3 linked regions of the Lepisosteus oculatus genome follow. The protein of the gene in region 3 purifies or fractionates together with the protein of the main gene of each other region. This does not show direct contact. Links are inferred from orthologs where the notes say so. Each region holds a gene or a part of one and is shown on either strand. Other genes may lie near its edges.

Region 1 (6,934 bases), on a different chromosome or scaffold from region 3:
ATTGACTTTCAGTAGAGACTTTCTCATTGTAACCAAAAAAAAAAGAAATATTCTGCAAAAGACTAGATCTATTTACAATACATTCTTGATTTCAGAACTACTCATGCATTACAAATATATATATACAGTATAACTGATGATGGACCAAACTTAATCTCAGTCCTCAAGATTACGCATCACGATCTTATTATATGATTTAGAATTTACATTTCATAAAAGGCAAACACCCAAAAATAATTACAGGCAGCAAAGAAAGACTAAAAGAAAAACAAGAAAGTTCAGTCAACTTACCCTTCAAATGCACAATCCTTCACCAGTACACTGTCTACTGTCTGGGGTTCAGACTTTTTTATTCCCAGCTTCTTCCTCACTATCTCCGCCGCATCTGCTCCTATGGCAGCCTCTATGTCATCTGGGTCAACATCATCAAACCAGATATCCTCCCTGCCAATCAAAATAGCAAATTTCTCAAGCCACCAAAATCAATGATGTAGAAACAACGTTGACATCAACAGAGAATTTTTGACTCTTTATCGTAAGAGCTGCTCACAGATAGTAGACAACTTTCAGCTAGCATCTCCTGCAAAGCAAAATTAAGCCAGCAGCCATATCACCCTGCAACTCACAACTGGCAACCCACTGAAGCTAAGCAGGTGTGAGCCTGGTCAGTACTGGGATGGGAGACCTCCCTGGGAAAAACTAAGGTTGCTGCTGGAAGAGGTGTTAGTGGGGCCAGCAGGGGGCGCTCACCCTGTGGTCCATGTGGGTCCTAATGCCCCAGTATAGTGATGGGGACACTATACTGTAAACAGGCGCCGTCCTTCGGATGAGACGTAAAACCGAGGTCCTGACTCTCTGTGGTCATTAAAAATCCCAGGGCGCTTCTCGAAAAGAGTAGGGGTGTAACCCCGGTGTCCTGGCCAAATTTCCAATTGGCCCTTACCAATCATGGCCTCCTAATAATCCCCTTCTATGAATTGGCTACATTAACTCTGCTCTCCTCCCCACTGATAGCTGATGTGTGGTGAGCGTTCTGGCGCACTATGGCTGCTGTTGCATCATCCAGGTGGATGCTGCACATTGGTGGTGGTGGAGGGGAGTCCCCATTACCTGTAAAGCGCTTTGAGTGGAGTGTCCAGAAAAGCGCTATATAAGTGTAAGCAATTATTATTATTATTATTATAAAATGGAGGCACTTGCTAGTAATAATTAGCTTGCCAACCAACCAAGGCATGGTATGACAAGACTGTCTGGCTGTACTTCATGTGGACACTAAAACATCTTTATGTTCCAAAACTTTAAACCAACTGAACCTGCTTGACATAAGATCAAGGCACTCTTATTTAAGGCCCCTGACTTACTCTCTCAGTTTGATCTCAGTGGACATCTCAATTTTTCTTTTTTTACATCCCTTTTCATTTGTCTCTTTGGGTACAAGCTCCTTTTTCCTCTTTTCTTTGTTCCTTTTCTCCTGGGGTGTTGGGACAGCATCCCCATTTAGCTTGGAGGTGGAAGGCAAGGGACAGTCTATAATTTGCTTCCCACGGTGATCCTGGGATTCCCCGCTACCTTGATCTTTAACTGCAAGCTCTTTAGGGTGCTTCTTAGGCTTCTTTGTCTCTTTCTTGGATATCTGTTGTGCTCTAGTAGATTCAGCCTCTTGATTTTCTGTCTCTTTCTTCTGATTAAGCAGCTAATTCATAGGACAAAAATGAAAAAAGGCAGAATATCACATGTACTTTTGTAAGTGAAAATATGAACAGGCTTGCATACAATTCCAGCTTGTACAAGTCAACATGCCGGAATTACGAAAAGAAAGTGTTAATTACCAGTATAAAGGTGTCTTAGATTCAGCTGAAAACATTTTCAAATGCCACATTCTGGATTGTGTACTAGAGTCACTTGGAAGGTAGTTACAACAGGCAAACAACTGAAGTCCATTCATATTCATTACTGCATTTGGTGCAATTAACTTACAACACCCTGGGATATACAGGCATAAAATACAATGTAACTAACCAAATTACTCTGCAAAAATATCAAAGTTGATTACTAAATACGTTTCTGTAACTAGTATCCTGAAATATTTCTCCTACCTCTTGCAGCGCTTTCCAGTTAGATGAAAACTGCTGAGAATCCTTGGGAGGCAGTATGAAATTCACATTAGCTCCTCCCTTCTTTTTTTTCTTTAAGTGTCCATTTTCCACCTTTCTTTTGGACTTCTTTTCCTTGAGGCGACGTTTGTTTTTCTTTTCCTCTGGTTTAGGTCCACGGGTCTTGGTCACAGCCGCCTTATCAACACCCTGTAACTTCACTCCTGACATGATTTCCGCGACTGCTGTCAGGTAGCTCCAAGTCAAAACGAAGTCTCTCACACAGGGTTATTAAGGTATTATCTGTCCAGATTTGCTTGCCGCAAATATTTAATTTACCACTGCTTCTGTTACACTTCAAAAATACAAGAGACAAAAGTAACTAGTAATGCATGTGGTATTTTAAAATGGCCAATTTAACTGAGAGACAATCACGTTGCCTTTGCATAGTAAACTACCTTAAACATTTATTGATGTTTGCAAAGATACAATTAGCAATATCAAATGTTCCAGTGTCTGTACACTGCAGCGTAAGCACATGTAACCGAAGCCAAATACTTTCGAAATGAAATCAACTATAACTTAAAATGACAGTTATCGCCTTTGCTGTATGATGAAATTTGTTTAATTTTAAAGCTGATCTGTTCAGATTACTTCAAACTACCGCATATACAGTACACGAACTTACCAACACAACATTCCTCCCCATATGAATTCCATGCTGCTTGTACTACTTCCGCTATGTCCGGCGGTAATTAGTGTTCCCTAGAAACAAAAACCTTGTGCACACCATGACGGGTCCGGTCAAACGAAAGTGCAAAAAATATAACTAATTCCGATTTCATAGAAACCTCATTTGAATAACGTGATTCTTTAGCATGTATGGAGCACAGAAATTCAGTGGTTTGTATTTAACACATGGATCTGGGAATAATTACGATTGATGTTAGTACTTAATATGGAAAACATCTAATCTAAAATATTTCTCACTTTTATAACTACTTAAAATAGTTATATTTAAATAACAAACGTACATGTATGATAGTGGAATTGTAGGATTGTAGGCTTTTAATAAATCTTTCAAATCTGCATTAATATTACATTCTAGAAGACCTGACCTTTAAATTTGACACCTAACAATTTGCTGTATTTCGTTTTGTTCCAAAGAACACACATGACTCGAACAACTGCATCAACAAGTATTTAGAAATGGAAACAACACAGAGAACGGTAGCATGACCGTATTTGTGCATGAGCTAAATAGTTTGACCAAATCTGTCAACGGATTTTCTCACTGTGTAACTTCAAGTCGATAGATGACGCTGTTCGCCCTTCCACTCGTGCAAAGACTGCTTAAGACTACAGTACGCTTCAGTTTTTAATGTATACTGTATTTAGCACGCTTTTGATCAGCGAATAGCGAAAATAGTTACAACAGTCGTTGGTATATCATTGGAATTATTTTAAAAGCGTGATTTTAAATTTATTTTGCACGGCCCATTGAATCAGACAGGCTGATAAAAAACAAGACTCAATTCAAGACTCGCGTCACCCGAAGAAGGTTCCACAGCCGAAACGTTGTGTTTTCTTTCTTCTCATGAAATAAATCTATTACTTTTTCCTTAATACAAGACTTGTGACTTGATACTTATTCAAAATGAAAACACAATTGCAGCTGTCAGTTTTTTTTAAGGGAAATGCATTTTCTCTTCTTATGTTCCTCTGCCTCTACGTGCATAAACGTTGTAGATCCTTTAGAGAAAATGAGGGCTGTACTGTATATAAATATGCATTAAGTATTTATCTTTCAAATATGACCGTTTTTTTGTTTCAAGAAGAAAAATAAAGAACAACGGGTCTCCATGGTCGGTGGTCTTAATTCTGCGGCGTGCTCTCTTCGGCTGTCTGATAAATAAGAGGTGTGAGACGCAGGCAAATCGCGCGTTCTCGACTGTGGTGCAAGCATCACTCGCGTCCACATGTGTACTCAAGACAGTGGCGTGCTTGAATACAACAACAGGAAAAGGTCATTTAACCGAAGTAAACCTTGCGTTGTAAAAGCTTCTCCGCATTCGTGAACCCAACACTAAAGTGATTAGAATAATATTTTTTTAAACCATCTGAGTCCTTCGCCCGCGCAAAAACACTCACAGGGTAGCATCAGCTTTCGATTAGCATTAGAATACCCCCCGATTTCTGCAGCACACCTCATCGCTTCAACGTTATTTTGACTTTCCCCTCTGTGCGCGTCCCCGCGCAGCTGTCATTGGACGGCGCGGGAGCCCGCATGGTGCTCTAGTCTGTGCAGCAGTTCCTGGCCATTTTGTAGAAACAGAATGAGGAGGTGAGTTAAGGAAGATATAATAGGCGGAATAAAGACCTCAAACATTATCAAACTCACTGTTGACTCAACTATTGAAAAGCCCTTGGAAACCGTGGATTATAAAGAGACGATCGTCTTGAAACCATGAGCTGGGGGACAGAGCTATGGGTAGGTATTTTTTGTCATTATTTTAGTTAAGCTGTATTGTGGAGATAACGGTTTCACGGTATTGTGCAATGGGGCTACATGATTTGTGGATGAATTTAATCTACAACTGGAAAAAGACTGAATTGAAGACAAATTAACTGCTCTTTCTGATACCATTAATGTTATACTTCTGACACGCGTTTTATTTTTGCTGTTATTGAAAGGTGGCGGATGTGTAAAGCTAACATTAGCATTAGCTAGCTAATGCGGTGGTTACAGACGAGAATCTTTTCTGCAGATTTGTGCCTTCTCAGAAGCATTACAGTGCTTTTTATACAATAGAATCTCCAATGTATACAATGTATCTCCATGGTAATACAACTAGAAATGATAAAAAAACATAAAGAAAAGCATGCCGCCTTTGCGAGATGTTGTGCAGTAACAGTGTTTGCAAGAAGTCATGGTAGGACAGAGCAGACTGTCCCACAGAGTTGGATAAGTTCATTTGCACCAGTTTACCAAATGATCTTTACAAATGGTCATCTGCAGGTACCGAGAGAGCAATCTGGATTTCCCGACGGTACAGGCATAACAGTGTATGATTAGTCTGACCATATTAAATAACCGAGACGAAGAAAAATCGAATGTGCTCGAATATAATGAACATCTTTTATTTGATCTATGCGTAGTTTAACAAAAATACACGGCATTTGTCTACATTGCGTAGTTACTAGTAATCACACACTGCAGTCGTGTGTCGTGCGTTCTGCTGCATTTGAAGTCAAAATACTGTATACACATTAACCTACAGTATAGCTAAAGCGTTTTAATTACAAAATCCCCGGGTTTTCTTCTGCTCTTAAAATCGATAAAGATTGTTGAGTCAGTTTGATATTTTTAAATAACGGAGTGGGCGTGACAGCTCCATGTCTTTCTCAGCAGGTTTGATTTGACTATGTTCAAGCTTAGATGTCAGACGTACAGTACTTTGAGTTCTCGGTTAATTAGCATTATCATTACAGTACAGTTATAAAATATTATTTATATTGTTTAAAGCATAAGAGCTTATTTTTGACAGTAGCTATCATTAAATTATTGCCGCTATATTAATAGATCCAAACTTCTGTTCTATTAAAAATGTGGTTGCTGAAACATAGATTACACAACATAGATTACATATAACTACAGTACGTACGAAAACAAAGCACGTAGACTAACATGAATACGCATCCCTTGGTAATTATGCTAAATTATTTTTTTCGAGTTTGTGCTTTTGTCCTGATTGCATTCCTTGTAGAAGGGTAGACTATACACTTAATCGCAGGTTACAAAAGATGGGACATTTTTGCACCCTTCTGTCTTTGCAAGAATTTACAAGAGGTAGGATCAAAGAGTAAACACATCGACCTTCTTGGAAAGGAACGCTGAAAATTTTCATAACGTCAAGCGCCATGCCTTAAGCAAGGACGGAAAATTGCTATGAATAGTTGGAGCTGGTATTCAGCAGTTGGTAAAGTATCAGATCTTCAACCAATGAGGTGATCTGACGAATTGACCAAACCAGTCAAATAAGAAAAATGAATGTCGTTTGGGTTAACTTGGACCTAATTCCTTTTGGATGTTAATTGCCTTACCCAATTGATCTGTTTGCTCGCTTGAAAATACAATGCCATATTTTACGTTGCATTACATATTTATGAAGCATTGATTTGTATTATCAATCCACAAAATGACATTGTTTTCTTGGGTTTTTCTTTTCATATTATAAATGCAGGCTTCTCAATTACGTAATCCACAAACTGACATTTTATAACACAAAATAAAGCTTTGCAGATGAATATGCGGTGGTTTGATTGACGTGATTGCTTTATTTAGCCTTCAATTAAGCGAATTAGGGGCAGTCTGACTAAGGATATCATTAGTAAGGCTGTGCCCTGCGGTTTGTGCTGCAATGTCTAGCGTGGTATCGGTAACAGGAAGAGCGGGAGAAGAGCACAAGTTTTTGCAAACGAGTCGTCAGGCCCGATCTGGTGAAGCTGAGGTTGTGCAGGAGGAGTAACGAAAGTGCTAAACTGATATAAATCGGGTTTGGGACATGGAAGCTGTTTTCTAAAAATGGTTGATACTAACCTTGAACCTTTGACTTCGCATCAAGTTTAAAGTGCGGTCTTATTTCCGCTTAACGACCTGTCTGTTTTTGTAATCCAGTAAAGAAATCAAGCAATAGTAGCATTTGAGGTGAATTAGAATTATAGTGTTTAAGGTCAGCATCATGCACATGTAAAGCAAAGACATCCAATTGACCGAATTACATTCTCTACATTCGATAAAATAGAAAAGAATGCTTCTATTTTCAAACAAGAGAAGGTAT
Region 2 (7,618 bases), on a different chromosome or scaffold from region 3:
AAAACAATTTAAACTATGCAAACTTGTGATGCACAGATTTGCCCAAACTGGATTTCTTTCCACTCTGTTTCAGGATGTGGTCAGAATGTGCTGCTTCATTATTCCACTGAATTTTGTCAATATTCTTGTCACATTGTGTGATTTAATCATTAAGGAGTTTGTTGCTGTCGTGCTTCTAGGTCTGGGATGACCCTCTTAACAGGAGAGCCTTGAAGGCTGCAGTCTGGCCTTACCTCTGCACACACACCCTGCCTCTGCTCAATCGTGATCTCTCTCCGTAGGATAGAGCTGATGACATCACCGCCCTGAGTAGGAAACAAGGAAAAGCGGTCCATTATTTCCCCTGGCCTGGGATTTCCCACTGGAGGATATGTCTGTGTGTCCCAAAGGAGACAGCTCAGGGCCAGCCTGCAGTGTAGGGTGGAGGAATTGGGAATTTCTCTCAGTAAACAGCCCCCCTGGATAGGAAAGAATCGTCTTTCAAGTTGTCTGGGTTGAGCCCAAAACATAATGAATCACCATAAAGCAGCCCAGTGGTAAGCATTTCATTGCACTTGTGGGTATGACAAATAAACTGAACTGAGTTATACGTACGGTACACTTGAAAAAGGGATCAGGTTAAACCCAAACTATCTAAAAAGAAAATTCTCTAGTAACAGGCTTGAAAGATAAGAAAAGATATCCATCTATATTTTTATATGTAATATAAATGAACTCATTAACTCTTCAGCTGCACATATGGATGGTGCAACTTAGGATATCACACGTTTATGTGGGTTTTTTTTCTTCTCTTGCTCTGTGATGCATCAGCAACTGAAAGACATAGAAGTCAGCGTCTCCGGGCGACAGTCTGAGGGATAAGCCGCAGTGCTCCTCGCCCTCATTCTGTCGGTGGCCGTGTAGGAGCGCTGGCGACAGGTCTTACCTCCGACGGCCTGACGTACTCCACCACATCCTGCACAGTGTCCCCCACCAGGGCGACCCCCTTCATCTTGGTGTAGATGGAGCTCTCTGGGCGCGTCTCACTCTCTTGGTAGGCCTTCTGACTGATGAACACATACCTGTCAGGGAAGCCAAAGAGGTGTTCTGGATGTGCCCCTTTGAGCAGTGTGCAGAATCCACAGCAGCACCCTTCATACTGTCGGTCTTGTGGGGCTCTTTGGATTGCATGATGTCAAGGAGGACAAAATAACACTGATACACAGAAATATACCACATTTGATCCAAAACTCTATTAAATTTCTCTGTGTTGAAAGCAAAAGATAGGAAACCTGTCCAGGGATAAATGCCAACAATACTAGAAGGTTCAGAATGTAATCATCAGTAAATAGATGCCTATTTACCATCACTATCAAGAATACTAACACCCATCCTTCCATTTTATAACCACCTCATCCGACTCTGGATCGCAGGAGAGCCAGAGCCTACTCTGGCAAGCAATGGGCACAAGGTGGGATACACCCCGGACAGGACGCAGTCCATCGCAGGACACACAGAAGACACAGACACGGACACACTCACAACAGGACCAGCTTTTCCCAGAGGCCACTTAACCTACCAGTATGTCTTTGAACTGCGGGAGGCAAGTGAAACACCTCCCTACAGACCTGGGGAGAGTATGCGAATTCCAGACAGACTGCACCCCTGGTCCAGAACCAATCCTAAGGCTCCAACACTGCAAGGCAGTAATGCTTACCACTGGACCGCTGTGCCACCAACATAACCCATACATCTGTGATGGTTAATGGTTAATATTTCTCCTCCACTAGGGATGCACAAAAACAGCAATAGCTTATTTAGGGTGAATGCTATATTAGTATCTTGATACTCTGGGCAACACTTCTAAAGAAATGAAGATGTTAAAAAGGAAAGATCAGCCACTGCTTATTGACACACATGTGTTAAAAGTTATCCGCACAAGATCGTTTTCTGATGACTTCCTTCTAATGTTCCCGGGATTTTGCAAAATGATTGTGTTCAAGAGCTTTTAGGTAATTTAGAACATGCTCTGGCAGCTTGCATATGCATCCCCTCCATGTCATTACCCTAATTAGGGCTACTATGAGAGAACATTAACAAATATGTTAATATCACTTCTAAATATGCAGAACAATGGGGATGATTACCAGATAGCTATACTTTTTAAATAATGTTGATAAAATGTTAATTAGTTGAAAATGCATTTCCTCTGAAATCCCAGAAAGTTACTATGATCTATGACATAGTTGGCAAACCATATATATTTATTTCATTTCATGCTGAGCTCTATATTGTAAGTATAAACAACAACAACAACAACAACAACAACAACAACAACAACAACAACAACAACAACAACAACAACAACAACAACAACAACAGCATTATTTTCAGACTATTTGTACCTCCTGATTTATGTTGAACGCTGTAGCATTTTATCCTGACCTACAGTTTACTGACCTGCTGGAAACCATTATAAAAACAAATGTGAAACGGGGACAGTAGTTTCATTTACAATGTATTGATCTGTAACAGTCACCAAGAGTTTGCAGTTATAAATCGATTAGTGGCTAGCAAAGTTTTTGTCAGCATCGGTATTAATTATAGATGAGGTTACATTCAGGCATCCTTTAAAATATCTTGTTTAATTATACAATTATACAGTAAGTGTTTTGAAACCCAAAAATACGTAAATATCTGATGTGTGTTATGGTTTTATAAAGCTTTCTTCTGAATCTTATTTTGGATGACTGCCAACCATTTCAAAGCTTATGGAAATTTACTGTATTTACTTTATTTATTTTACAGTTTTTCAATGCTTTTACTATACCATAAACATGCTTCCACATTGCTTTGGAATGGATTTCCATGATTTGTACAGTACCATAGTATGTGTGACAAAATTTAAGCCTTATGATGCTTTTGTCATGATTTCACTGAACCTTGATACACCTCTGCCTCTTTGCCTTTCTCTGCCTATAGCAAATTGCACTACAATAACATTTTAGAAGGAACCAACACACATTTTCATGCATTTTGTGGGAGTGCAAAAAGGAAAAAGTGTCCATTAGAGTTCATTAGAAGTCCAAGTTATTTAGAAACCACATTAAGGATATGAACATCTGCTTTATTTTGAGTCTTTATACCAGGCTGCAATGCTCTATACTATTGTATTACTGTGTCAGTCATAAAACAACTTCAGTATCACCCAATTGCCAAAGCACTTATTATTCTTTTTATGGATGTCAGGCTTTAGAACCAAATTAAACTTACCATATGAAGTAGGTGATTACCAGGAACTGCACAATTCTGTAAATGATTCCGAGAGTTTGGTTTTTCACCACCATTATCTTCGGAGTCTCATAATCCCAGAATCCAACATAAAAGTCCTTAATGAGCTCCTTTAATCCCATTGTATACAGATTTCCTCTCTGGGATCTGGTTCTGGAAGCAGAGGTGTAGTGTGGCGCACTGATGCTCTAAATCTGTCTTACTCCTCCTTTGGGCTTTGCAAATTTTACTCTCTGTCTCCACCTCTGGATCTCCTCTTCTTCTTTATCTCTTTGCCTGTCTTGTCCTAGTGCCCAGTCTAAATTTGCATGTTGGCCATCCTCCCCCTTTTGTGTTTCATACTCTGATGACATCACGTTAGCTGTTTTCTAATCCATTGGGATTCCTTGTTCCAGTCCTGGTCTAGATGATTCCTTGATGAATACTCTCAGGCCACCACCACCCATTCCTTACTCCTACTAGCTATTTATAATGCACAGATGGATCAAAATGTTGAGATTTCTATGTGATGTGATCTCCTTTTGTGGAGTGGAAAAATCGCCCATTTTTGCTTGAGTTGTGTCTTTTTTCTAAAGAGAAATCGTAGCACAAAAGAAATATGCTTGTGTTCAAGCAAACATCTGATAACCCGTTTTTCGACGAAGGGCTTTTAAAAACCACTACATTAAGGGTTGATACTCAAAAGCTCTTCCACCCTGTAGCAGCTGCTTGTAACCACTTCCTAATGCATGGTCATGGTATCAAGTGGGAAATTGACTCCGTCGCTATCATTAATGTGGATCACAATGTTTAACTAAGCCCAGAGAGAGAGAGAGCTTACAATTTATGAAATAGGGATATAAAAACATTACACATTTAGTAAAACAGTACCAGTCTCACAAGACAAGTACCCAACATAATCGGGAATTCTGAGGTGAATACAACTAGACACAGCACAAAGTGGACGTCAGAAACAGAAATGGCCTGTCTACTTGCTTACTTTCAACCTTTGTACGTAAATCTCGATGGTATATAATAAGACATTAATTTTAATGAGCTAGGAATATTTTCATAAGCATTCACATGCCTGTGTGCCTCTATGACAGACAACCTGACGTACAAAATCTAGTTTCAAGCATCCAACCAGAAAACATACACGCGTAGGTCGCCCGATTCGTATCCTTTTTTAATGTTATTTTTAGATAGTGAAGATAGGAAATACTGACATTTTAGACACTAATTTTTATTAAATAAATATATTATATACGTTTCAAAGAGTTATATTAAACCATAAAACTGCGAGATATACCATCGATGTGTGAATTGTGAACAGGCAACACACAGGACAGTTCCTTACGATACGGGTCCTTACAGTGCAGCACATCCGACACGTGTCTGAGTGTATGTAGGGTTGTTGTCGGTGGTGAAAGTTATTCGTTCAATTAAGTTTGTTTTCCTGATAAATCGTAGAAATGGGAGGTCTTCAAAAGAAGAAGGTATGTTTCTGTGTTTTATTATCTGAAGGCACTTTTGGACTCCGTTATTAAACATGTGCATAATACGGTTTTACCATCATATCAGACAGCATGAACTGATTTCTGAATTGTCGCTGTGGAGAACGTATAAGGACGTTTGTAATGTCTCGATGTTATATTTTGCGGTATTTTACTGTGATATAAAGTCGCTAAATGAAAGCTAGTGTCACTGGTGATGCAGTTCGGATGTATTAATGGTCTGGATAAGATCTCTTAAAGGGTCTTCATTGAGATTCGTATGCTCAGATACATAAGGCTCCTTTGCTGGTACATCTTATGATGTTACAGTACGTGAAGTTCCATGACATGTCGAATACAACATTAATTAGATTTGCATCAATTTAAGTTTAATACAGTGGATACTTTATGGAGTAAATAAAACACAATGACCGTCTCAATAATTAAAGAGAAGTGGAGATGAAAACGTTTTTTCTGGTTACTTGAAAACATATCCAAGTTTCTGGTGATATTGCATACTGACTTTGTTCGAAATGTAAAACCCCTGGAGAGTTCTTGTCCATTTAACATGACTATATAGTTCATAGTGGAAATAAAATCCTTAACTTCAGTGACAGACATTTAGATCCTTTAAAACCCCCGATGTTACTATTACTAATTATTCGGTTGTTTAAAGTTATTTTTATACTACTTGAAATGCACATTTCTATCAGTAAATGTTTATTAAACTTAAACATCAACCTTGTCTCGAGTCGCACGAGTTTTAGCTTGCGTGTAAAATAAACGCTTTCCCTGACTTTGATCATTTTTGTTTTTATTAAGTTCATGATCTTTTTTCTTTCATTGCAGTATGAGAGGGGATCCGCCAGTAATTATATCACCAGGAACAAAGCACGGAAGAAACTGCAGCTGAGCCTGGCTGACTTCAGGTAGGAATGTTGTATTTACTTTGCCTGAATTTCATTTTGATTGCTTCTTAATGTTAATTGACTAGTTTTTAACGACAAAAGAGCAAGCATGAAAGACCGTTTTTAAAAGGGTCAGATTGTGTTTAAGTTAGTGAGTGAACACTGGCTCAACAAAGTATGCAGCTTCTTCACTCTTCAGGCTTTGACTAAGTTGTCGTACTTGGTTGTATTGATGATATCAACAGATATGAGTTAGTTATGATAAAAGTCAGCAGTGGAGTCTTGTCCCGTAGGCCCATTTAGTTGAATAAAGCAAAAACAGAGTGGAAGGGAGTAGTTGACGAAGCAGGGATTTGTCAGGCTCTGATGTGGGTTGCTGTTCATGTCCGACTGCTCTTCAATAGAGGTTAAGGTGCTGATGTCCCCACAGACCCCTGTTCCCTGAATAACCCCCTGCTCCCTCTCTCCAGGCGCCTCTGCATTCTCAAGGGAATATACCCCCATGAGCCCAAACACAAGAAGAAGGTCAACAAGGGCTCTACAGCTCCACGCACCTTCTACCTGCTCAAAGACATCCGCTTCCTTCTGCACGAGCCCATCGTCAGAAAGTTCAGGGAGTACAAGGTACCTCCAACCCCACTAATCTTTCCATTTCCGTCATCTTACCTAGGAATCTGTGGGGTGTGCTGTATGTGCTCTGGAAGTCTCCTGTGGTTTTGCACCAGGCTCATGTCTTCAAAAAGAAAAGCAAAATGGACTATGAACAGATTCCCTAGGAATAGCAACAACCAAGAATTCAGTGTATTTGAGGATTATGATGTGTTTTAGTCAAAGTTTGACTTAACCCATGTGGCTGAGGACCAACCTCCTAGTCACAAGATGAGCTGGCTGGGACCCCCATGCAGAGTGAGGATTGACTAAGGAGTAGCTGCACAGGTGGAGGTGTGATGCAAAAAGATGTATATGAGGGAGAGAAAGGGATAATGTCCAGTTGAACTTGGTTGTTGTCACCCTCCCAAATTTTCCTTCTGAATTCCATTAAGTCTCAATTAAAATGTTGTCGGTGACGTCGCTGTGCTCTCTCTGTGTTCGCTCAGGTTTTTGTGAGAAAGTTGCGCAAGGCATACGCTAAAGCAGAATGGACTGGAGTCCAAAGACTGAAGGAGAACAAGCCCAGCTACAAACTGGATCACATCGTCAAGGAGAGGTGAGCTGTGAGATCAGCATGAAACACCAGAGGGAGATCATCTGCTATACCAGCTTGATATCGGGACAACAGTAACAATAAAAAAACCTTTGACCTGCAAATCCTGTGTTTTGTACATCAACATATATATTTGAAAATGTACACGTGACTACTTAGGGCCAGGATGCTTAAAAGATGGCCATACCACTGCTATGTTGTATGTTATATTAATAATTGCTTACATTTATATAGAACTTTTCATTTGCTGTTTTATTTATATGGTCTAAACCGATATGTGTGCGGTTTTGACAAAATATTGTAATCAAGTACTGGCCTTCCATTCTCGAGAGGTTGTTTGTTTAATTTAACCTGCTTGATCACGCCAAAGACATCAGTGCTTAGCAATTGAAAAATGCTTTTAAAACAAATATTACAGCCTGTGCTGCATTAAGACTTGCAAGTTAATCATTTTCCAGAGAATATGAGTCCCTCCCTTTTTTATTTCAAAGAGCTATATCTCTCCCACTGGCTAAATTAAGAGGTTTGAGACAGTTTTTAATATGTCATTAGTAGACCCACTGAATAAACAGGCAATGAATTGACTTCTAGGATGGTGTTCTCTATCTTCTGATCTGACTGAAAAAGCCATTTTTAGCATGAGCTTAAGCCACTGCATGGTGGAAGTTTTGAAGCATAGGCAGGTTAGTGAACCTACACCTGATTTCAGTGTTTGGTAGTGAGTTTTAGACAAAAGCTGAGCTAATCCCACTCACGTCCAGTGC
Region 3 (7,711 bases):
CTGGGAAATGCTCTGGGAACTGCCTGCTTGAGCAGTCCATATCGTAGCAAATCTAACCAAATAAAGTGTTAGGGTGCCCCCTGCTGGGAAGAACCAGAGGCACATGAGAGGAAATGCACTCCGAACATCTCAGACCAGTTATTAAATCTCGGTAACAAGATAAATTCATTGACATTATAGAAAAATTCAACAAATTTAAAATCAAGCACAACATCATGAAGTTCATGAGAGTATTTAAAGTTGCCATGCTTGTCGCAAACCCTTGGTTTAAGGGTAAGAGCGACAGTTCTCACGGATTGCCAGGTGAAGCAACCCTTCCTGCTCAGTATTCACTGTAATGATGTAATGTGATGTACGAGCGAATAAGCACAGGTTGTACAGCAGACATTTCACAGCAGGAACGTTCCAACGTGATCTGCATGCAGAGTTAACAAGCGGCATTTGTCAGCACAAACCGTGTTGAAATTGAGAGCAATATTTCTATTGGATTAAAAGAGATGCATTCACAAGTCTGCTTCTTTACAATGCAGTAGGGCTGGAAGACGCCCCAGGAGGTTTTGTTACCTCATTCTGAATCGCAGAATATGGTGCTGCGCATACCTGGAAATTTCATTTATTTTGTGATGTAAATGTTATGGTGTACATTTTACTTTTATCGCAATTTGAAATGCACTCATCAATGCTGATTCTTTCTAATTCCAAGATATGAAAATAGTGTTGCAGTTTCCTTATTGAGCTATTTCACCCGGCATTAAAAACTCCAGAGGACTTAACAAAACCTTAATAGTGAAACGTAAACAGTCCACGGATATTCTCACTCACCCCCAGGCTACGTACGGCTCCACAGCCTTCAGCATAGTTAGGGAGGTCTTGTTGATTTTAACAAAAGAGCCGCTGAAGATCTTCCTGAGCCGCAACATTTGGATTACCTTCATGACCTTAAGGCTGACACCCCTAATCCTGCACACAGATGAGATAAACTTAAAGCAATTCTTCTGACCAGACATTACTTATCACAGGAAGATAGAACTAATAAAGAAGATTTGTGGTTAGCTTCAAAGGTCTGTTTTAAAAAATGACCATTCATTCACTAGATATCAGTGTATGGCAAGCAAGGCTGTTTTGATTTTAATTTTACTTCACAACTAAAATAAAGGAAATTGGAAAATTTGCTGTTATAGAACTTGGTAAGATGCAGGTGAGTGATTTTTTTTATTTCTTAATACATTAGACATCTCTTAAAAAATGGACGTCTTTAGGATTTAATGTTAGCACTATTTCTTGCACCAAAGGCAAAAAGGGAAGGGAAAGAAATGGAGTTAGAGAACGTGGCACTGATGCCCTTCAAGACGTACTGTCTGATGCGGACAACGAAGGCAAGGCGTTTCTGGTTGGGTAGGATAACAGGAGCAGGTCGTGCGGCCTGTCTTCTCAATCGTGTCTCATCACGGTGCTTCCGTCGGCTGTCCCACAGGAACTCTTCCAGACGCTTGAACTTCAGGGTCTTGCCTCGCTGTAGCTATCCGGGTAACACAGGATTTTGAGAAAACAGGGATAAAATAGACAAGTACAGCACTAACTCTCGCCTAACCGCTCCTTAAAAAAAGATGAGGACTGAATTAAGAAATTCACTTTCTTTAGTGAAAAAGGCTGTGAAGCTCTCAGTTTACAAATTACTTTTCATGGATTCAGCACTAAACGCTGCAGAGAAATGACTGTCAAGAGGACCACACACAGGAAGCTCTTTTTTAGTCCCTAAATACATTACAAAAACAGATTCCAAAACATTTTGAAAAAAAAAATTCTCTAAAAATATCTATTAAGGACATGGTTTTCTTCCACTACTTATGGCTAATGAGGTAAGAAAGTTTCCACCTAAAGTTTTAAATTGTCACCCTACCACGACGTGAAGTGAATTGTATTGTAACCTTCCAACAGCAATGAATTTCCTCTTCTCTGTTGTGGCAGAATATTCCTCTTTCTCCCATGCAGGTTAAAAGATTTTCATTTCTATTGTTTCCATGAATGTAAACATGACAGTTTTTCACAGATTTGTATGCCAGCCTACCTTTTTCTTCTCCAGAAGAGCACGTCTGGCCTCATTGGCTTTGATGGCCTGATAGGTCTTCCTCTTCTTCAGGAGGTTCTCGGGGACAAATTTGATCTTCTTTTTCACCCTAAGGACCAAATTGCAGACAAAGTCAGGAAGAATGTTTGAAACAAAACCAGATCGTCCTCTATGCGTTTCACTTGTTCTCTGACATTTATGCATCAAAGTTCAGCCGCCTTGTGGACATTTCAACACATCGACATCGATAAGGTCCGAGTAAAAGCAATCTGATAAACATGCTGTCCTTCTCAAGGTACACACAAACTACATTAGTAGAGAAGCAGCGGGATTTATATATGTCCATACAACCTGAAGATTTGGGTCTGTTTTTCAAACGGTCCCGAACGTTTCATTTAAAAAAGAGCACTGTCTGCAATTAAACATTGGGGAACAAGAAAGGTTTGCAAATGTTAAAGTACTGCGCCTCAACTTTATAAAGCACGAGTTCAGGTACCCTTCACCATCTTTTACGTAGAAGTACTTAATTTAGAAGCAGTGTCTCTCAAACAAACAAGCACGATATTTTCTCTCTTAATGATATCTATTAATTGGTCTCAGGGAAATTCGACATCTCTAAAAAATGTTCGAGAACAAAAAAAAAGAACTACATTTAGATATCAGGTATGGGGGAACAGCCGTCTTAACCTCACCGAGAAAAGCTTAGGTCGCAATGCAAAAATATACACACTAAAATAATCGATTAACTTCAGTGAACATATGTTTCAGAACGAAATGATGAAACTATGCATTATTAATGAAGATTAACTTAGATTTTATAACGCAAACACTTCACTTACTCCGAATCTGCCATCTTTCCAACCTGTCGCACACAAATGATGTCACTCATCCACTAAGTTTGCTCTCCACGTGTTTACGCCACCCTCTGACCTCCAGCAGTACTGCATTCTGATGTACTCCACTGCCGGTTTGAGTGAGCTAATATACCCAAAAACATAACAAATGACACAATTTAATCAATCACGTGTACAAAACGTGGTCTTTGCCCTTCCAACTTTACATAAAACTACAAAACTTTTTAACTTCCAGAAAACCCAGAGTCTTCAACCCCAGTCCTGGAAACGTTCATGGTTAAGTCCTAACCAGAACCCAAATTCACCTGTTTTTCAAAAGATTATGAATATTTTTAGTTTTGTTGATCAGTTTAGCGGGTAATGTGCTCATTTGTGAGAATTCTGGTCCTTGAGAGTGAAGAGCAGAGGCTGTTAGGTTTTTCTGACTCACAGCTCTTGGATCCTAAACTTAGTTCAGGCATGAGGTGCTGTCTTTGCGGAGGCTGCTTGCCCTTCTGTGCTACAGGATAAAATGTCTACTGTAGGTTTGTCAGAACCTTTAAATTCTGTGCCATGATGGAGTGGTGTCCCATCCAGAGTATATTGTGCCTTGCAGCGATTGTCTGCCAGGTTAGGATCTAGCTCACTACAATTCTAAATTGGATTAAGTGGTTATTAAAACTGGATGGGTGGTTCGTCCTTTAGGGCGAAAGGTTTTTGTACCAAATAATCTGTAAATTAATTGATTGGGTCACCTGACTTGATGATCACAGTAAAAATGTCCCAGGTCTTAAGAAATTAATTATGTCCAATAGCAACAATCTTAGTTGCTATGCTGTCCACTTTTTTTTTATCTCTCTGGGGTTCTTAAACTAAAGATTGGAAACCAGGGAGGAGTAAATTCACTTACAGAGCTGGAGTCTTCATTAAAGCCATTTTGCTGGAGTAAAGCCATTAAAGAATTATTTCTAGGGAAGTCAGTTACAGCCTAGACTGAGAACTCATCAAAGTTCCCTAAATAGCAAGTGAGAACAGCATCTTGTTAATGAGAGGAGGATTTACAGCTTAGATTGGATTCTCTGCTCTCTTAACAAATGCCACACTTCAAGACACATTGCAGGACACACGAGAACACAGACAATGTGCACCTAACAATAATACAGGTCTCAGAATGGTGAGGAACATCAAAACAGATTCCATGCATCTTCTCCACCCTCAATTCATAATGCTCCCATCAGGAAGACTGTAGAGGGTACCAAATTCAAATAAAAACATCTATACAGTAAGAAGTCTTTTGTCCCCTCTGTAATAAAACTGCTCATGTACGTAAATATAGTCCCCCTAATACCTATTCATTTATCCATTTATGTATTACATAGTGTTGTTGTGATTTAATGTACTTCATATTATTTTATGTGACTTTTATGTTTTAATTGTGCGTTTTGTACATTTATGGGAGAAACCAAAGGCAAATTTCCACAGTAGTGGACAATAAAGTACCTATCTAAGTAAACACACAACAACTCAGGATGATTCAAGAGCCCTGTGGGTGCTGAGAGAAAGTGTATCTGTTAAAACATATCTGAGCATCTGGATAAGCAGTCCAGAAACTCAGTGATTTTTAATGAATTAAGCAGACCACGACTGAGAGGAGACCAAACAGCACCACAACTTCTGAGGCTGGAATTTCCAGAAGATGACCAGCATCTTATGTGACAATGTGCTATGCTTAAATAGATGACATAACTTTTTTAAAAAGAGAAGAAGGATATGTACTGTAGCAGAAAAGAGTCAGTGACAACTTTACAACACAGTTCTACTACATTGTCTTTAAGGAACCAACATCTGCCTTACACTGGGCACTGAAGGGACACTAAGTCAAAGTTTAAGGAAATATTCAGGAAAGATACAGTTTTTTTATTTATTTTTAGAAGCACTAATTAATCTGCACTTTGTTTTTCTTGATGAAAATTTATGAAATTCTTACTGTTGATTAATTGCAAGCATTCTTATTAGAGGCCAAACAATTCCACTATTTTATTATCAGTTTAGAGGACAGGCTAACCTGTGGAAGATTAGTCCTTTTATGAAACCAGACCTACTTTCTCTTAAACATTTAGGTACACTTCTGACTGCATTGTTGTAGTTAATGTTAGGGATCTGATGACAGAGGTTGGATGTAATTTGTTGGGCTCTAAGACCTCATTACAGTTCAAAATATAGTTTTTTTGTGTTGTGTTCTGTCATTAACACTCATCTTTGCAATTATTGCATATTTCTCTGCTACTAGATTGTTCATGAAAAATTAAAGAAGTCAAATGACCTTTGTCAGTATTCCCTGACCAGTGGGAGTATGTTATTATTTAACTTTGAAAAAATACTTGTATTTAAGCTGTTGCCACAAAACCACTTTTTGTAACAACAGGATGTAATGGTAAATACACAAGATAAAGGATGAATGTTGTGGTTAAATGATTTGTTTTCCAAAAAAGAGTGCAATGTTAACCATATAATCCTCAAATAGGAATAACGTACAATGGGTGAAATGTATATGCTGTGTAGGTGTTATCAGATGAAGGCTGTTTTTGTTAGCTCTATATGGACTATACTGTATATCTTTCTGTTCCACATGGCTTGTTTATTTAATGAAATGTGATGCATGAATGGTGCCAGACAGGCAGATGGACAAATGTGTCAGTTTGAATGAGTAATCGGCAAACAGGCAGCCTTGTCAGTTTTCAGGTCAGAGTGAATGACAAAGAGAGTGAATATCAGGGTAAGATAAGATCATTTTTATTGGCCATATACAATTTCTTGTATTAGGAATTTGTCTTTTCACATACCCCAACTTGCTCTCCACGAGAGACACAGACAGGGGGTCTGAGCACAGGGTCAGCCATTTAATACAGCACCCCTGGAGCGGTTGTGGTTAAGGGCCTTGTTCAGGGGACCAATGGAGTAGGAGTCCTCTGCTGGCCGTGCGATTCAAACCGGTGGCCTTCCAGCCACAGGCGCAGATCCTTAGCCACCGCACCGCCCCTTTACTTTAAAATAAATTCTGACACACCAGAAAAGCTACACTAAGTGGTTTTACATTTGACCAGTCCTTAACATGCATAAAAGAACATCAAAGAACATTCACTATTGTTTAAACACAACATTTTCTGACACCTTTTTAAAATGACAGCACCCTCAAGTTTTGTCCTTTGCTTTCTTTTAGCACTTGTTCACACACTAAATTGTACCCGTTTTGACTAATCGAGAGTTAACTAAATGAACAGCTGTTTATAAAAAAGTCTGTGGTTTTATAACTGCCAAATACAGGAAACAGTATAAAAACAAGTAACCAGGGACAATCAAGATCTGCTCCTGTGCCAAGAAAAATGAAGATTTCATTGTGTGATAATAATGCTGCTATCTGTACGTGTGAATAATACTGTGAAGGCATATATGTACTGTAATTGATATAATTAGATAGGTAGGGTTGGTCGCCTTTTCAGGCCATAAAGGTCCATGGGGAAATAGGAGGGGCAAGGGCCACCATTTTTCTCAACCATCCGACACTGGAGGTGGAGGTGATGTGGTCAGTTTCACGCTCTGGCTGGCCTATTACCCCCGGATGGATTAACCCCTGGTACTCATTTGGAGTGGAACTGGGAGCTGTCTGGAAGGAATTAGAGCAAGCTACATCGCTTGCCCCTACCTGGGATTGAACCCAGGACCAGTCAGGAGCAAAACGCCCTTGCCGTCTGAGCTACCACGGCTCCAAATTGATATAATTACATGTATGTAACTGATACATATCAATTAATGATATGTAAAATACATATAGAAACGAAATACTTTCAAAGCTATCTAGTTAAAGAAAATGAATTTAGTAAACTTTAAGCACAGGTAAAAATGATATTAGAAATGTCAAGAGAGCACTAGAACAACATGCCTCAGACTGAGGAAAGACAAGGTTCTACATTAAACAATATTTGCATAGAAGAAGTCGGTGTGCCACTGGTATTATGGTTAAGGATCTGCGCCTGTGACCGGAAGGTTGCCGGTTCAAATCCCGCGGCCGGCAGAGGAATCCTACTCCGTTGGGCCCCTGAGCAAGGCCCTTAACCCTAACTGCTCCAGGGGCGCCGTACAATGGCAGACCCTGCGCTCTGACCCCAAGCTTCTCTCCCTGTCTCTGTGTCTGTGTCTCCATAGAGAAAAGCTGGGGTATGCGAAAAGACGCATTCCTAATGCAAGAAATTGTGTAGGGCTAATAAAGAAACATTAGAAGCACAAATAATAAACAAATCTCCTGATGAGATTCAAGCAACAGTACAAAGAGATATTATTTGTAGGTCATTAGCAGAACCTTTCCAACAGTTCACTCAAAACAGGAGTGATACCCATTGAAAGGAAAGTTGTTGAACAAAGTAATTGTAGACCAATAATTCTGTTATCTGTCATTTTGTTACATGCAATTAATTATAACTAATTGTATTCCGGGGAACAGTCAGCTTGGATTGAGAAAAGGTAAGGTTTTGGTTAACTTATTTATAAGAGTTGACACAACACCAATAATTGATACACAAATAGATTATAGAGTTTCAGAAGGCTTTTTACACAGCTGTAGACATTCAATGAAGATGATGTGATACTTTTATTTATTTTTTTTACTATTTATTTTTTAGATTAAGAACTGCTGTGTGGATCAAAAGACAAAGACTATGGATAAGGAGTGAAAACTCAAATTGTGGCGATGTAATTGGAGAAGGGTCAAAGAGATACTATTCCTGATTTAATATGAGCAGTTTAGATTCTGGTA

What was found.
Region 1: the proteins of rpl7l1 (region 3) and rexo4 purify together in Homo sapiens (affinity purification with mass spectrometry; 3 studies listed by BioGRID and IntAct, with this or other methods). This does not show direct contact. The link is inferred for Lepisosteus oculatus from reciprocal best matches to the Homo sapiens genes RPL7L1 and REXO4.
Region 2: the proteins of rpl7l1 (region 3) and pes purify together in Homo sapiens (affinity purification with mass spectrometry; 4 studies listed by BioGRID and IntAct, counting the BioPlex papers as one, with this or other methods). This does not show direct contact. The link is inferred for Lepisosteus oculatus from reciprocal best matches to the Homo sapiens genes RPL7L1 and PES1.

What each region holds. Positions count from the first base shown.
Region 1 is NC_090719.1:5,369,390-5,376,323, forward strand, and holds the start of rexo4 (RNA exonuclease 4), read right to left. Parts: upstream 3,060-6,934; 5' UTR 2,782-3,059; intron 2,449-2,781; 5' UTR 2,325-2,448; coding exon 2,097-2,324; intron 1,694-2,096; coding exon 1,362-1,693; intron 445-1,361; coding exon 292-444; intron 1-291.
Region 2 is NC_090717.1:5,546,992-5,554,609, reverse strand, and holds the start of pes (pescadillo), read left to right. Parts: upstream 1-4,615; 5' UTR 4,616-4,721; coding exon 4,722-4,745; intron 4,746-5,591; coding exon 5,592-5,671; intron 5,672-6,120; coding exon 6,121-6,274; intron 6,275-6,747; coding exon 6,748-6,857; intron 6,858-7,618. Other genes in the region: p2rx2 (P2X purinoceptor 2), read right to left, coding at 234-305, 926-1,061, 3,253-3,392. UniProt on the Homo sapiens protein: Component of the PeBoW complex, which is required for maturation of 28S and 5.8S ribosomal RNAs and formation of the 60S ribosome.
Region 3 is NC_090697.1:58,535,508-58,543,218, reverse strand, and holds the start of rpl7l1 (60S ribosomal protein L7-like 1), read right to left. Parts: upstream 3,016-7,711; 5' UTR 2,958-3,015; coding exon 2,908-2,957; intron 2,178-2,907; coding exon 2,069-2,177; intron 1,520-2,068; coding exon 1,356-1,519; intron 961-1,355; coding exon 823-960; intron 1-822.